Linked DNA regions of Tamandua tetradactyla. The protein of the gene in region 1 purifies or fractionates together with the protein of each later gene. This does not show direct contact. Links are inferred from orthologs where the notes say so. Each region holds a gene or a part of one and is shown on either strand. Other genes may lie near its edges. The genes, in order: CLGN and TCTN2.

Region 1 (9,007 bases):
GGACCCTACATGTCCTATACTTTTTTAAAATCAGTAAATGTTAATGTATGAATGAATGAGCTTTCCAATTTACACAGGTATTTTTGTTATTCACAAACAATGAAAGCAATAATGATAGGTTCCTATTATTTTTGCATACCAGTGCTATTCCAGTTATTGGCTGAGGTGGTTTGTTATGAGATATGTTGTGACTTTTAAAAATCTTGAAATTTAAAACTTCATTTACTGAGGGATAAAAAGGGGAGGGATCTCTTTTATTCTGTCAATTAAAAACTTGTTACCCAAGATTTTTACAGTAGCTTGCTTAAAGAATTCTAGTCAAATTCTGCTTTTTGTTTAAGTCTCCCTGCTAAGTGTTATGTTCAAAGCTTCACTCTTGCATCCAGTATTCACATCCTGTATACTGGAGATGGTTGCTCTGACATCCCCTTTTCTGCATTTTATTGGAATTTTCTTGTTCCTTCCTCTACCCCCATGAGGGTTTGAAAATTACACATTCTATTTCTCTTCTTCCAGAAACTCCTAAAATAATACTTAAACCATTTTAAGAGCATACTTAAGTTCAATTTCTTTCACACACTACCAAAGCAAATCAATATTTAATAATATATATCAGCTAAACAAGGCAAAAAACTTGGTACACTTCTGGGAACGTTCGATCTTGGCAACCCCCAACACTTCCCTTACTGCAACCACATTGAATTTTCATCTCAGATTGTTATTAATTTTTTATATAGGCATACCTCATTTTGTTGTGCTTCACTTTATTGCACCTTGCATATATGTTCTATTTTTTACAAATTGAAGGTTTGTTGCAATCCTGTGTCAGGCAAGTCTATTAGTGCCATTTTTCCAAAATGTGCTTACTTCATGTCTCTGTGTCACATTTTGGTAATTTTCACAACATTTCAAACTTTTTCATTGTTATGTCTGTCATGATGATCTGTGTTCAGTGATATGATGCCACTATTGTAATTGTTTTGGGGTGCCAGGACCACACCCATATAAGACAGTGAACATAATCAAATGTTGTGCTTGGCTACTCCATCAATAGGCATTTCTCTCATCTCTCTCCCTCTTTTCTGTCCTCCATATTGCCTAAGACACAACAATATTGAAATTAGGCCAGTTAAACATAAAATGGCCTCTAAGTGTTCAAGTGAAAGGAAAAGTTGCAGGTCTCTCACATTAAATCAAAAGCTAGAAATGATTAAGCTTAGTAAGAAAAGACATGTTGAAAACTGAGATAGGCTGAAATCTCAGCCTCTTGTGCCTAAGAGTTAGCCAAGTTGTGAATGCAAAGGAAAGTTCTTGAAGGAAAGAACTACTACTACTACTATTACTACTACTACTACTACTGCTACTACTCCAAGTGAACACATAAATGATAAGAAAGTGATCAGCCTTATCACGGATGTGGAGAAAGTTTTAGTGGTCTGGAGAGAGGATCAGCCTAGCTACAAGATTTCCTTAAGTCAAAGCCTATGAGTGTTAAAGACATGGAAGACAAATATTTTAGCAGGCAATATACGCTACAAAGAGGAGTACACAAACTAGAGGGGTGGGGCATGCTGCTGAAATTGTATACCACCTGTTTGCAGGGGAGGGCGTTTGAGGATGTGCTGGGTAGGTGGAGTGCCTTCAGGGCAGAGCTAATCTTGTGGGTGGGAGACAGACACTCACCCAGGTCAAGGCTCTCTAACCTGACATCTCACAATCCACACTCCTACACCTGGAGGCAGGTTTCCCTGTTGCTGCTCCTTGGCTGAAATGGGTGAGGAACAGGATTTTGAGGGGTGGATCTCCTTATGTTTCCCCTTGGCCCTTTCTGAACCATTATTTGTCACCACTGGCATACATCACGTCTAAGCATTCTTTGCCTTTTCCATGTTCAAGAAAATATTTTCTTCTCACATTTTAGGCTATCCTCTTCATTAATCTAATCCTTCTTAATTCCTTCCTCTTGTACCCTTTTGGTTTTTGAACAAATTTTTGTGCTTATTCCATCATTTTACTATCTTTTCAGAAATGTCTTCGGGGTTCACAAAATAGAAACTTCCGCATGGGTTCATTCTGCCAGTCATATACTTTAACCTGAAGAATTCTGATTAACACTAGCAGAAAAACAACAACAGCAACCATTATTACAAGTATTATTATTGTTTTGTATTTTTGACAAATCAATAAGGAAAAATCACAGAAAATAAGAAGTATAAATATTAGACAGGGATAGATAAAATTATTTGCCAAAGATAAATATATCTTGAAACAAAAATTAACCAATTGGAAAATGGGGTGATTGTTTCCTTTCCCCATTCTTTTCTACACCATAATTTTTATTACATTTATAAATATATATGACTTCAGGGCGGGCCACGGTAGCTCAGCAGGTACAGTTCTCGCCCGCCATGCCGGAGACCTGGGTTGGATTCCCGGCCTGCCCAGGCAAAAAAAAAAAGTGACTACAAAAATAGGTTTTAACAAAATATTTTTTTTAATTGTCTAGCTCTGGGTCCACTCATTATATCTGGGTTAAAACTTCACCGAGTTCTATAAAACCTGGCTCAGAGACACTCTATTTTAGGAGGCAAAGTGTTCTGGACAAAGCATAGGCTTTTTCGATCTGTGGGAGCTTGAACGAATTGCATAACTTCTCTTGGCCTGTTTTTTCATAAATAAAGTAAAGATAATATCTGTGTATCCATTATATACAGCACCTTACACATAAAAGGCCATCCAATAAAACAAAGCCATTATTTTGATTACAAAATAGGCTTCCAAAAGAACATTGTTCTTTTCCTGCTTCTAATGTTTTTCCAGCTCTGTGATGAACCCAGCCTCTCCATTCTTGCTTAGGTCAACCTGGACTCTTCCCAAATCTATCTATAGCTGTGTATGCCAAGGCACTTCCCAGCTCTCCTGTTTGGTATTACCTTCAAGGACTCCTCACCTTATATGTCTAAATACCATATCATTCTCTTAAGAGTCAAAACTCTGGTCTCATTTTCAGGTCATGCTTCTCTTAAATTATCAGAAGAATAGCACACTTTATTAAACTGATGAAAGTTATCTTTTTAAAATAAAATTAGAAAAATCATATTCAACCTTCCTTTCAATAAGTGGCAAAAAAAAAAAAATTGGAGCTGTAGGTAGGGTATTGCATTCCAGGTTAAGGAATTAAACTTGATTCTGTAGGTAATGAGCAGTCCTTGGAAGCTGTTGAATGAACTCTCTGAGTATTACACTATAAAGTGTAAATGGGAATCTTGAAGCAGGGGTAACCGGTTAGGCAACTGTTGGCAACAATATCTAAAGCAATGAGAGTCTTAATTAAAGACTGGCAGCAGTACTGAAAAGTGGGGACCACCTTAGAGATTTTAAAGAAAATTTATACAGGCACTGGGTGTAGAAGCCAAAGATATTTAAAAATGTGATTTGGAACTGTGTGTATCCCCAAAATTCTGTTCTTAAATCTCAACCACTCCTATGGTTGTAAACCTATTGCAAGTAGGACCTTTTTGATGAGATTATTCCAGTTAAGGTGTGGCCTCTTACTGGAGTCCTTTAAAAGGGGATGGCTACACGAGAGAGAAAGCTACAAAGCAAGAGGCTGAAACCACTGACACATGGAAAAGAAGGGAGAGACCAGCAGCCATTGCCATGTGCCCTGCCATATGCCGGAAGAACTGAGATTCCAGGGCAGCCAGTCTTCGGGAAGAAAGCATCACCTGATGATGCCTTGATTCGCACACTTTTCTCAGCCTCAAAACTTTAAGCTAGTAAACTAATAAATTCCCGTTGTTACCAGTCAACCCATTTTATGATACCTGCTTCCAGCAGCCTAGCAAATGAAAACAGATGTTCCAAGGTTTTGAATGCTGAGTAACCAATATGATGCTAAATCTAGCAAAAACTCCCCTACTTTTAAATTTTTGGTTTTCAGCTTCTTCACTACAACTATTTTTAAATAAATCTTTCAAAAGCCCTTGAGCAAATCTAGTGTATTTGTTTGGAGCTACAGAACCATTGTTGACTAATAGACCTTGGAGAGTCTGAATAAAGAAAATGTAAGGTATAATATTGTTACAAAGTACCTCAAATAAAATTTGTCTTTTTTAGCAATAAGTTAAACACTATCCAAACACTTTGCAGGGAGGGAATGATGGCATTAACAGTCTAGGAATTATGAATTTATTATTGAACAATGTGAAAATGATTAGTGATTTTTTGGCATATAGTTTACATAAAAGCTGTCTATTCCTTAATCTGAGACTCTTTAAACGAGGTCTTGGACTCATCAATTAAATGTTTTAGTTGCAGTAAAATTTAAATCGTGATTATACCAAATTTAAAGTTCACTATAATAGTAGTAGTAAAAGCTGCATAATCCTACATCTATGGGCAAAGAAGCCTGTGGTTTAACACTGCTTATGCTGCCTTTTTAGCCTACTGGTTAAAACTACCAGCTGTACGAGACAGATCTAGATTTGAACCTTGTTTTCACCATTCATTGGCTGTGTAAGCTCAGACAAGGTATGTTCAGTTTCCTCACCTGGGCTGTGAAGATTAAAAGAGATAATGAATGCAAAACCCAATGTAAGCAATCCTTAACAGCACTGTCAGAAAGAAAAAAAAAACATTTATATGATTGATGCATTATATAATTGTGTCGATTACTATTTATATACTCATTATGTTAATTATATATGACATTTTTACGTAGAGATAGGAAATGAGAAGCGTCCCTACTGACCACAACGACTTTATCTCCTAACATGTCAAACTCTCGGAAAAGCCTAAGGCTTTTATAGATTGCACCAATATTGGACGCTGTTCAAAAATATACACAAATTCAGGATGCAGTAATTTTGCAGTAGAAGGTACAATTGTCCTGCTGTAGGGAAAGCGGACGTTCCGGGGAGGAAAGTCTTTGGTCCAGTAAGGACGAATCCCTCCTTGGCAACCCTGAAGCCCGGTCCACGTTACGACGACCGAGACGAGGGGAGGCGGCGCGGCCACAAGCCGGGTGGGCGCCCCCTGCGGCGGCCGCGCCAGCGCTCACGCCGGGCACTGCGCGGCGCCCCTCCGCGGCGGTTGAGCCCCTCGGTGCAGGTGCGCGTGGCCCCAGCGTCCCGCCGCCTCCTCCCCGCCGGCAGCCGCACGCGCATGCGCGGTTAGCAGTCGCTCCCGGGCGGCCGCGGGCGGGTCGGTTTGGCGAGACGCCGGGACCAAGTGGCAGCGACTCGGACATCTGAGCTGCCACTGCTGAAAACAGGCCCGCAGGACAGGTGCGTGCCCCGGGGGCCCCCCTTCCGTAGCCCTCTGCGCCCGGGATGGCGTGAGGAGTCGGAGTCGTCGCCGCTTCCCCCCGGGTGAGGTCTCCCGGGCCGCACCCACTTCTTTGGCCACCCGAAAGGCTACCCAGGTTGGGGCCGGTGAGGGGGTGGCCCTAGAGTTCCGGGGGCTCGGCTTAGAGGCGGCAGCGAACGAGGCCCTTGGGTGGACGCTCCCGGCCTCGTGGATGCGAGGATGGGAGTTGCCGCCACCTCGGGTCGGTTGGGGCGTCCAGAACCGTCATGTCACCTGCTGCGTCCCGGCGGGCGCGGGCGCCGGGCGGGGAAGGCCGGGGAAGGCCGGGGGCCCTCGGCAGCGCGGCCGCCCCCTGCGGGCGGAGGGGCCGCAGGGAATCGAGGCCGTTATTCCAGCGGTTACCATTTCAGTCCCGTTCCGAGCTCCTGGGTGCGCGCTCTCTGGGGGTCTCGGGGGAGGGGGGACCCTGGGGGCGTCCGAGGGCTGCTCACTCCACCGGCTCCTCCCCGCAAAATCGCACACAATAACAACAGAGGCTCAGCTTACGCAATTCCCCCTTCTGTAAAGGCGAAGGCACCCAACCTTCACAGCTGGGTGAGCCGCCTGGAGCCCAGGGTGCGCCGCTCCGGGAGGGAGCGAGAGGATTGAGTTGAATCCAATGAAACCCTAATTACTAGGGACTCATTATCGCTTAGAGCCTGTTTACAATCATTCAGACACTTTAGCAGATCTTATTTATAGTATCTGTCCCAAGCAACGAGGAGGCAGTTGCTTGGGATTTAAAAGCAAATGGCATCAAAGCTCAGGATGGAGAGAGAGAAAAGAATAAATCGAATGGCCGTTGGAAAAAGCCAGAAATAGAAGGTTAATTTATATGGAAACTTTTTGATGCAGAAGAACCAGCGAAGTCTTGATTGTAGTTTTATGGTTTTGCTTGCTTTTACATTTTTACATCGCTGTGTATAGGCCATTTAAGCTCGCTAGGCAGCCCTCCTTTTGCTAATTGTAAATTTGACTTCATTTCAGTTTAGTTTTGCCTTCACTTCTAACCAGTTTGATCTTCCAATCACATTTAGACCTTCTCCCCAAATCCTTAGAATAAGATATTCTGTATCTTCATCTTATTTATCTAGTTGATAAGGTTAATTATTTGTGTGTGAATGATGTAAAGTAGGTTGATGGGTCTCTAGAAGTCAGTACTTTAAATTAGCCTTACTGCCTCCTTTCGGTACCTAACACGTTTTAGGGTTCTTAATTAGAAAACTCGAATTGTTAACTTTTGGGGGGATCAACTAGTTCAACCTTTCATTTGATAAGTGAGAAAAAAGCCCCAGAGTTTTAATCACTTGCCCTTTTAATAATAAAACTAGAATCTTGGTGTATTGGTGCCATATTCAGTGTACTTTTTTCTTCTTTTTCATGGGCAGGCTCTGGAAATTGAACCCAGGTCTCTGGCATAGCAGGCGAGAATTCTGCCCTTGAGTCACCGTTGCACTGCCGCAGTGTACCTTTTATTATGTTATTCTCTAGTTCAGTAACTGAAACCACTAGAAAGTTTTAATTTAGTGAAAGTTTTAGTTTAACTAAATATAGTTAAAACTTTCAATATAGGTGATTTTCAAAACCACTCCTGAGGCATATCAATGTTGGTTAAGTCCTGAAGTCTACCATTAAACTCAATAAAAGCAGGAAGGCGTTTCTGTTAGAAGAAATAGCATATGTAAAAGCGTGAATGTATTAAATAGGTGAGTGTTAGTGAAAAAAATCATGAAGCTTAGAAAGGGTAGAATGTACACTGATAAGTACACAGAGTTATTGATCATTTTTATAAATGAGTGGTAAATTAAAATTTGTGTTTTTAGAAAAATCATGCTAACCAGAAGACACAGGATGATTAGGGGATTGGCAAGACCAGAATGAGATTTCACTAATCTTTTTCAGAAATGATGGTTCCTAAATTAAGGCTATTCCATGGGGATAGAAAGAAGATGACATTCAGGAAATACCCTAGTGGATTTAGTTACCAGTGATGTTAAGAGATGAATAAGAAAACTGTCTTAAGATGATTACGGAGTAACTGGCTGATTTGGTTGATGAGGGGGTGTTAATGGGAACAGAGACGCATGTTTGGGAAGGAAAGAAAAGCTCAAATTAATAGAGGCTTTGAGACAGCCTTCAAAATGGATCGCTAAAAACTAACCCCTGAGTTGTAGATGAGATTTGGGAGTCCTTAGCTAGCTTTAAGGTAGAAGCAAGAAGTATAATTAGTCAACCAGGGAGAATGTGTAATATAAGAAAAGAAGGGATCCTTGAGACAGAATCCTAACAAACAGCAACATTTCAAACTGATTAGAGAAAGTGCCTGTAAAGAAGACTGGGAACAGGCAGAGAAAAGGAAGAGAATCAAGAATCAGAAATAGTAGTGTGGAAACCAGGGGAGGAGAGTGGATTCCAAGAAGGAGGCAGTACATGGTCATCAAGTTCAGGCAGTTGAATTATTGAAAAATGCCTTTGCATTTATCGACTAAGACTTGATGGTAGGAACAGTTCAAAGATATGGAAACAAATCAGAATTAAGTTAGTTTTCTATTGATGCCAGAATAAAATCATCATGAATGTAGCAATTTAAAGCAACACAGTTTTATTATTTCACAGTTCTGTAGGTCGAGTCTATCTGGGGTCTAACGGGGCAGCATTCCTTACTAGAAGCTCTAGGGGGAGAGGATCTGCTTTCTTGCTCACTCAGGTTGTTGACAGACTTTAGTTTCTTACAATTATGGGTCTGAGGTTCCTGTTTCTCTGTTGACTAGCAGCTGAGGGCAGTTCTCAGCTTTTAGAAGCTACCCACATTCCTTGGTTTATGGTTCTTTCTCCATCATCAAGGCCTGCATTGGTAGGGGAAGTCTCTCTTATTCTTCAAATCTCCTTGCCTCTTCTGTCGTATTTCTCTGGACTGACCATTCTGCCTTTCTTTTCAACTTAAAAAAAATTTTTTATTAGAGAAGTTGCGGGTTTACAAATCAATCACGCATAAAATTTGGGCTCCCCATGCACCACCCCATCACCAACACTTGCATTGTTGTGGGAAATTTGATACCATTGATGTCACTTTTTTTGTGTGTAGTTATTTTTTACAGTAGTTATATTTGTTGCAATTGATTGAAAGATAATTAGAGTAGTGCTCTAACTACTGTCCATAGTTTATGTAGGGTTATTTTCCCCATACTCCTGACCTATTTTCTTTTCAAGCATGTCTTTATTTTATTACTCATCTTCCCATACACTGGATAAAGGGAGTGTGTCTGTTGCAAGGGTTTTACAGTCACACAGTGACACGATAAAAGTTATATAGTTCAAGAATCATTATCAAAGATCAAGGCTTCTGGGGCGGGCGATGGTGGCAGTGACAGAATTCCTGCCTGCCATGCAGGACAACGTGGTTCGATTCCCAGTGCCTGCCCATGCAAAAAAAATCAAGGCTTCTGGATTATAGTTTAGTAATTTCAGGTATTTCCTTCTGGCTATTCCATTACACTGGAAACTAAAAAGGAACATCCATGTAATGATTCAGTAATCATAATCACTTGCTAAATCCTAATTTTTCAGTTCTACCTCTTCTCTCTCATTTAATCTTTCTCTCAGTCTTCAGGGATATCTGGGCAAGGACATTTTAACTGTGTGCTGGAAAGGGTGTCGC
Region 2 (8,567 bases), on another chromosome or scaffold:
GGACACCGATCAGGGCAGACACCTCAACATTGGCACATCTACCTGAATGTTCTTTTGTTTTCAGAAAACTGACATTATATGAAGGGAAGAATCACACAAAACCATTTTCCCATGTCCAAAGATTTATGTACATGTGCACACGATTTGCTGTCGCACTAGTTACAACAGCAAAACGTTGAGAATGACTCGGTAAGGGATTGGTTAATTAAACAATGCTATATCCACTCAACAGAATACCATGCCACTGCTAAAAAGAATGGGGTGGACCTACATGTATTCATATAGCACAATCTCAAAGTTATATATATTTTTAAAGGGCTAAAATACTGTAAATGATGTCTTATTACTATGCATATGTACGTGTTTTTAAGCAAAGGAATACTGACCAGCTAATGCTGGGAAGAGGAACTGGAGGTCAAAAGCTTTCATAGAAAATCTGCTGTTTTGTTATAAACTCACTTAGAGTCTTTCCATTCCTTTTATATATATATATATATATATATATATATATATATATATATATATATGAAGTTATAGGAATTAATACATAGAAATAAATTAGCTTAATTTTCAATTCATGTTCTCCAAAAAGGATTTAAAGCAGCGCACAGCTGGGACTCAGTACCAAGGGATTGAGGAAACTTTCTCAACCAAAAGGGGAAAGAGAGAAATGAGACAAAATAAAGTGTCAATGGCTGAGAGATTCCAAACAGAATTGAGAGGTTATCCTGGAGGTTATTCTTATGCATTAAATAGATATCACCTTTCTAGTTAAGGCGTAACAGAGAGGCTGGAGGAAACTGCCTGAAAATGTAGAGCTGTATTCCAGTAGCCATGTTTCTTGAAGATGATTGTATAACGATATGGCTTTCGCAATGTGACTGTGTGATTGTGAAAACCTTGTGTCTGATGCTTCTTTTATCTACCTTATGGACAGATGAGCAAAACATATGGATTAAAAATAAATAAATAATAGGTGGAACAAATGTCAAAATAAATTTAGTAGATTGAAAAAATAAATAAATAAAGCAGTTCACAAAGATGCAGCCAGTGGACAAGATGAAATAAATCTTAGGTAAAATAATTAATAAATAAAAATTTCCAAAATAAGAATACTAAACAACAGGAAAATAAACTTAGGAAGGCAAGATGGAATCAAGAATAAAGTACAAAAAATATATGCTTGTAAGCAAATTATATGCCTGAAAGCAATTAGATAATTTTTACCTCATTTTTTTAGAGAAGTTGTAGATTCACAAAAAAATGATGCAGAAAGCACAGAATTCCCATAGACCCACCTTCACACACACAGTTCAATAGATAATATTTTACTTGAATTTTTTAATAGTCAAATACTTTACTTGCCTGATGCATTACGGGTCAGAGAAGAGTTGGCATAAATTTCCACTTGAATAAGTAAATGTGCTAAACAGGATGAATTGTGAGATGCTGAAACCAGAAGAGTTTGGAGAATACATGGTGATTCTGAGAAGGAATCAGTCTCATTAGAGGAACACTGTTGAAGATCTCTTTTCAACCTCACTGTCACTTCCAATGCTTCCTAAAAAGGAAATATTGTTGTACTTTTATAGGGACTCAAAACAGCATCTTTAATTGTAAGTAAACATAATAGAAAATACAACACACAGCTTCAGATCATTTCACAAAAGGAGAATTATATATAAAGATAAAGGAATTCTGTTCAATGCCACCCTGTAAACTTATGACAATACAGAAGTCCTGACTTCTAATCCTCACCTTAACATACAAGCCAGTAACTCTGGGATACTTACAGCAAGCTAAACACAGGCCTCATAATTCAGCTCATCTAGCACCCTTTTAGTATCTTTATAATCCTACCAGCTAGTTATTAAATTCACAAGAAGCCAAAGAATGCTGTTCCCAGCTTATCACATCAAAATAACTTTGGACAAGTCTACTAAAATATTCATTCCTGGGGTGTAGGCAGATTCTGTCTTTCTCATCCTTTTATCTCCAATATATCTTGCACATAGCAGACAGCAGATAAACACTCATTGAATGGGAGATGTGTTTTCTTTCCAGGCTGGATTGTCCTTATACATAAGGGTAGAAATGAATGAGATCACTGGTTATGAAGCTTTGAATCATAATCTGTTTGAAGATGGAGTCCCCCTTATCCGAAAAAGGTATATATACACATCATTTTACACACAATTTCAGAGTTCACAGATCTCTTGAGACTAGTCCAAGGACTGCTAACCCTAGGATAAGAACCTCTAGGCCGTATGGGTGTGTACCAGATCTGACAGACCACGATTTCATAACAATGCGAAGCAAATCAAGAGAAACACAACAGAAACACTAAATGTGGACCTCTACAGAAACTGCAGAGAAAGTTTTGTTTCTGGCCTTACCCTTCCTGGGGTCACGGTCAAACTCCAGTTTCCTGTCTCATTGCTCAGCACTCTACACTCAGGAACTGGCAACATTCCTATAGAGGAGATTAAAACAGAAGGCAGTATTGCCCAACAGTTAAGGCATGCACTCGTGAGTCATGCCGCCTAAGATTGAATCCTAGCTGGATCCTTTACAAGTTGTGTGGCCTTGCACTAATGTGACAACCTCTCTGAAACTTGATTTCTTCATTTGTCAAATGAGGTTAAAAATAAAGATTATGTTCCTAATAAGAAAATGAGGTGATGCATGTAAAGCACCTATAGGGAGAGTCCAATGATGCCAGCCATGCTTATTTCAAGCTTTTTCTCACCAAGCCTATTGCAGATCCTCTCTGGCCTACAGTAGTAATTCTCCCTCCCCATCTCGACTATGCACGCGATGGAGGCAGGGGGCCCCGAGGATGCCATCTTGCCAGGCTCCTAGGACTGGAGCTGATCTAACTCCCACACTCAGCAAAAGAAGGCCTGGACTCTTTACCTGCCTCGTCCTTCAGCAGGGCCAGAGATACCGTCAAATTCTCGGTGCCTCCAACCAGGGACGCTCTGGCTTCACGGCCGGACATACGGATGAAAGATGGGACGAAAGCTAGGCGGGAAGGAAGGGGACAGGAAGGAGTTAATAGTTGAATAGCCATTGCCTAAGGTGTGTGTGATGACTTTTTCTGGTAGATGTCTTCCAGGAGTCCTAAATTCGGCCCTTTAAACCCCTCGTCCCCTCAGCCCCAGCTCTGCAGCCCGTCGTACGCACCGAGGTCACCCCACAGCGGCCTTAAGATGCCCTGCAAAAGAAGGAGCCCCAACAGGAGAGGCGCGGGTGACAGAAAGCCCATGCCTTGGTGCTCGCGGACCCGCTCTCCAGAAGCGCCCGCTTTAGAATCCACGAAAGGCCTGGAAGCAGAGTCCCAGCCTCAGACGCCCGTTCGCCGCCATCTTGTCAAGCGAGTGCCCGGAGCTATGGCAACCACCAATCAGCAGCCGGCCAGGAGGAGCGGCGCACCACGATTGGTCCAGCGCCAAAAGAGCACTCCTCCCCCACCTCCCCAGCGCACCTAGGCTGAGCATCCCTCCGGGTCCTCCACATGCTTTTGGCTGCTAAATTCTAAAGAGGGTCTTGAGGAAAGTGTTCTTAGAGATAAAAAGCAATGAGTTATCAAGCTACAAAAAGACATGGAAGAACTTTACATGCATAATGCTAGGTTTGAGAAGCCAGTCTCAAAGTCTGTATATGGTGTAATTCCGATTATGACATTCTGGAAAAGGCAAAACTATAGACACATTCAAAAGACTAGTGGTTGCCAGGGGTTCAGGGGCTAGGGTTTGGGGGGAGGAATGGATGGGTGGAGCACAGGGCATTTTTAGGACCGTGAAACTATTCTGCATGATACCGTAATGGTGGCTACCAGTCATGTACACAGACTTTATACATTTGTCAAAGTCCACAGAACTGTACAAAAGGAAAAATAGTAATGTAACCCAATGGACTTTAATAATGAGTATCGATGTCGGTTCATAAATTGTAGCAAATGTACCACACTAATGTAGGATATTGATAATAGGGAAAACTGTGGTGGAAAAGGTGGAGGACATATAGGTACTCCAGTTTAAGAACTGAATTTTCTCATCCTTAGAGTTAATTCAACCACATAGCAAGAAGAAAGCCTACAGACACCAGCTTCTACATGGAAGGACTAGGATTGCTCTTTAATAAACAATTGCATGGTGACAAGTGCCCAGTAATCATAGCAGCTATCATTACAGTGATCACATTTCCCCTCTGAGAAATTTTCATTGTTAAATCCTGCAGCAGCAAAAGCATTTATCTCTGTTTAATTCAGCATTCTCCACTGCCTCCAGAACCTTTTTGTCCTATAATATCCATTAATATTTCATGGTACCTACTGGAAAGAGCTCCAGACTCTTCTTCACAAATCCTGCCCAAAGGCCATTCTTAAAACACTGCTCCCAGCATCTCTCTGCCTTCCTCAGAAATTGATGACATTTGATTATCTATAGATTATAGTATTGTAGCCATTTTGATCACTGAACTGTGGTTACGTTGTTTATAGAAAATACACACTGAAATATTTAGAAGTTAAGGGCACTTACCTCTGCAATGTACTCTGAAATATTTCAGGAGGAAAAAAATTATATATATATATGTACAAAGTGATAAAATAAATGTGATGGAATGCTAACAATTGGGAAATCTAGCTAAACAGTTTATATAAATTCTGTGTAATATTTTTGCAACTTTTCTGAAATTATTGAAAAGTTACAAAATAATAAATGATTAGCACATAGTATATGCTCAACAAAATGCTTGCTTAACAGAGACTCTTGACTCCTTAGCATCTACTTTTTAAAAAGTTAATATTCTGTACAAAGTATGAAATACAATCACTAGCACTGAACTAACAGACAAAACCCTGCCTATGTGGAGCTTCCTTTCTTGTGGGAGTAGACAGGCAATAAATAAATATGTAGCATATCAAATAATGGTAAGTACTAATAGAATTTTGAACCATGGGGATGTGTCTGTTCAAAATCTAAGTAAAATGATTTTTTTTTTTAATTTCAATTTCAAAAAAAATTTTAAATTTCTCATTCCTTAGCCTGCTTTCAGTGTCTTCGTCTTCCTCCAAATCCAGCTGACCTGGCTTTGCATACTTTAGTCCTCCCAGCTGAAACTGGTCCCCTACACACATCCAACCATCTTCTCCCACTTACCTGAATCTAATCCATTTTTCAAAGTTTAGTTTAGTTTCTACACTTCTGAACTTCACCACTGTTTACCTCAAACTTATGCTCCTATATTCAAATTTATCACTTAGCATATATAGCTTTGCATGATGGCTTATCTTTTTGTTAGCTTAAGTTCTAACTTCCTGACCTGAGAGCAGGTGGAGGTCAAAGAGAATCCCTTTTCTTCTAAGTTATGTTTAGTAAGTTATAATTTACATCCAGTAGCTAACACATTTTAGGTGTGCACTGCTGTTAGCTTTGACAAACTCATGGTTGTGTAACCACAATCAGTCAAGATGTAGAACATTTCCATTCCATCAAAAGATCTCCTGATGCCCCTCCGACTTTAATCCCCTCTCCCCACCACCAGCCTCTGGCAACCACTAATCTGATTTCTGCCCCTATAGTTTTGTCTTTTTCAGTGTGTCATATAAGTGGAATGATACATTATGTAGCCTGCAGCATCTCAGTTCTTTCATTTAACCTGATGCTTTTAAAAGTCACCCATGTTGTTGCAAATATCAGTTTACTCCTTTTCATTGCTGAGTAGTATTTCATTGTATGCATGTACTACAGTTTATTTATCCATTCACCAGTTGAATGATACTTGAGTTGTCTCCAGTTTTTAGTTGATAATGAATAAAGCCACTAGAAACATTTACATATGGATTTCTGTGTGAACATAGTTTTCATTTCTCTTAGTTAATTCCATCTAGAAGTAGAATTGCTGGGTCATATGGTAAATATATATTTAACTTCAGAAATTGCCAAACTCTTTTCCAAAATTGCTATAACATTTTATACTCCCACCAGCAATGTATTGATGATGTTGCTCTACATCTTCAAAAGCACTTAATATTATCAATATTTTTTGGTTTTGGCCATTCTAATACTTGTATAGTGGTATCTCGTTATGGTTTTAATTTGTACTTCCCTAATGACTGATGATATTGAGTATATTTGCCATCTGTGTCTCTCCTTTGGTAAAGTGTCACTCAAATCTTTTGCCCATTTTTTTAATCGTTTTATTCTATTATTAAGTTGTGAGAGTTATAATAGAAATCCTTTATCAGACTTGCTGTGCAAATATTTTTTCTCATTCTGTGGCTTGTGGGACCATGTCTTTTAAGAGCTTAGCTCTGGATAATTCTGTCCAAGGTTAGTAAATTCTACTTAAGAAAACCAGTATCATTCTCATATATTAGGATGTTTCTTGAGCTGTTCACACAACTAGTCACATTGGATTAAAAGAAAGCAACACCCCAGGAGGCTCTAAATTATTTTATAAGCAAAAGCAAAATAGTGTCACAACTTATACTTGCCAGAAATTTGAATGCATATTGGAGGGTTAGGAAAGAGAAAAACCCGACTGTAACCTATCTTATCTCAAAAATCAAAATGCTTAAGCCAAAAATTGAGGTTTTCTTTCCTTTTTATTACCACTACCGAAAAAGATCCTACCCTTCAGAGGCAGCTAAATACTTTCTTGGTTTACCAAAGCCTCACATATTCTTTCCTCTAAATCTATTTTTGCATGAATTTAAAATAGTACAACTTGCTCTGCCATAATACATGTTTTTATAACAAATTACAGGGAATAAGGTTGGTTATAATGTGGAGTAACTTAAAAGCATGTTCTATATGATCTTTTTCTCCAAGGGGAACCAGTATAGGGCAACAGAGTTATAACTTCTGCTAGAAAAGGAAAAGCCATGTAACTGGGTTATGTATGGTCACATATGGCTATGTAAGTGTCATGCAGGCCTCCCATGTGGTGTGTGGAACTCCATGAAGATGGAGGAGGGAGGCACCTGCTCATGTGAAACATCTCATTTCCTTAATGTTTAAAACTTAGTCTTTGCTGTCCCTCTGGCGTTTGTTAACACATGGTTTGTAAATCACATGGAGGAAGAAAATAGAAATGAGTTTTTTAATTTGAAATTGCAGATGTGAAACAAACCAAGGAATAAATACATGTCCATTAAATAAGTTTAAAAAAATGAAATCTACAGTATTGAAGGGGACCCCAGTTTTTACATACCAACATTTTTTAAAAAAATATGAAAGTCTATTTCAAAGTTTTTCAAAGTGATAAAGTAATACCTAATATTCCTGTGTATTGTGCTCCAAATTTATTGGAATAAGGAGGTAAATACTTTATATGAAGAATATTCTTTCAAAAATAAAATAAAATGAGCACTGATATTAAAAAAAAAAAAAAAGGGCTTACTTTGGCATTAGACTGTGTAGGTACACTTCTGATTTCAACACTTCCTGGCTAAGTAACACTGGAAAAGTTCCTTAACTCCTTCCTGCCTCTGTTTCCTCATCTGTAAAATGGGGATAGTAACAGTATAAGGATTAAATGAATTAATATATGTGAAACACATAGATCTGTGTCTGATTAAAAATAAACACTTAATAAATGCTAGCTAGTATAATCATTGTTAATTTAACAAATATTTCTTGATCATTGTTATAGCTACTAGCACTGAATAAAATATACAAAAATTCCAACTCTCCGTGGAACTTACATTCTTATGCCAAGGAGAGGAGACAGACAATAAATAAAATATACAGTGTGTCAGATAAATGCTAATGAAGAAAAATAAAGTGGGAACAGGAAGGCTAGGGAGAAGGACTACACTTAAAGGGAAAAAAAGCACTGAGTAAAAACGTGCTCTGTCTCTCTGGGTGGTCTTGATGAAATCTGAATTTTTGGCTAAATCCATATAGAGTAGATGTGTGTATATGTATGCATGTCTTCTAAGAGTCTGACCTCTGACTCCTGGAGAGAGAAAGGCCCCATCATAAGCATTCTAAACAGAAGCTGGCTGATCACCTACTGGGATTGAACACAAGGGATGCCCAATGTGAAAGGAAGGCTGAGCTGGAAGACATTGAAATTCTTTTTCTACTATGATATCCTATTTCTTCGTAGAACTAGATTTTTCAAGTGCAAACAATTTCCTTGTTTTTATCTAATGCCAGAATTATTTTTTAAGCTTAAACAACAAGGATTTTTTGGCTCATGGTTTTGAAGCTAGGAAAAGTAAAAAATTAAGGCATCTGCAAGGCAATGCATTCTCCCTGAAGACCGTGGCATTCTGGGACTGGCTGCTGGTGATCCTTGTAGAATATTTTTAAATGCAGCATTTAAAAGGCTACCCTAACCAAATCCATTTTCATGTTTTACATTCCCTGCAGTCTTTCCACACATTCTTTCATGAATTATAAGCACTCTTACAAATCATGTTTGGATTATTTGAAATAAACAAAATAACTAATTTTTTAAACATAAGCAACAGAGCAGGAATTCTTTTGCAGATAAATCCCAAGGAACTATTTTTATAACTGCAGGTCTAATACTTAAAATATTTAATTATT

What was found.
Region 2: the proteins of CLGN (region 1) and TCTN2 purify together in Homo sapiens (affinity purification with mass spectrometry; 3 studies listed by BioGRID and IntAct, with this or other methods). This does not show direct contact. The link is inferred for Tamandua tetradactyla from reciprocal best matches to the Homo sapiens genes CLGN and TCTN2.

The regions. Positions count from the first base shown.
Region 1 is NC_135348.1:27,628,254-27,637,260, forward strand, and holds the start of CLGN (calmegin), read left to right. Parts: upstream 1-5,144; 5' UTR 5,145-5,288; intron 5,289-5,327; exon of another isoform or gene 5,328-5,425; intron 5,426-5,776; exon of another isoform or gene 5,777-5,904; intron 5,905-9,007. UniProt on the Homo sapiens protein: Functions during spermatogenesis as a chaperone for a range of client proteins that are important for sperm adhesion onto the egg zona pellucida and for subsequent penetration of the zona pellucida.
Region 2 is NC_135331.1:8,399,682-8,408,248, forward strand, and holds the start of TCTN2 (tectonic-2), read right to left. Parts: upstream 3,410-8,567; 5' UTR 3,269-3,409; coding exon 3,187-3,268; intron 3,025-3,186; coding exon 2,917-3,024; intron 2,474-2,916; coding exon 2,397-2,473; intron 1,562-2,396; coding exon 1,366-1,561; intron 1-1,365.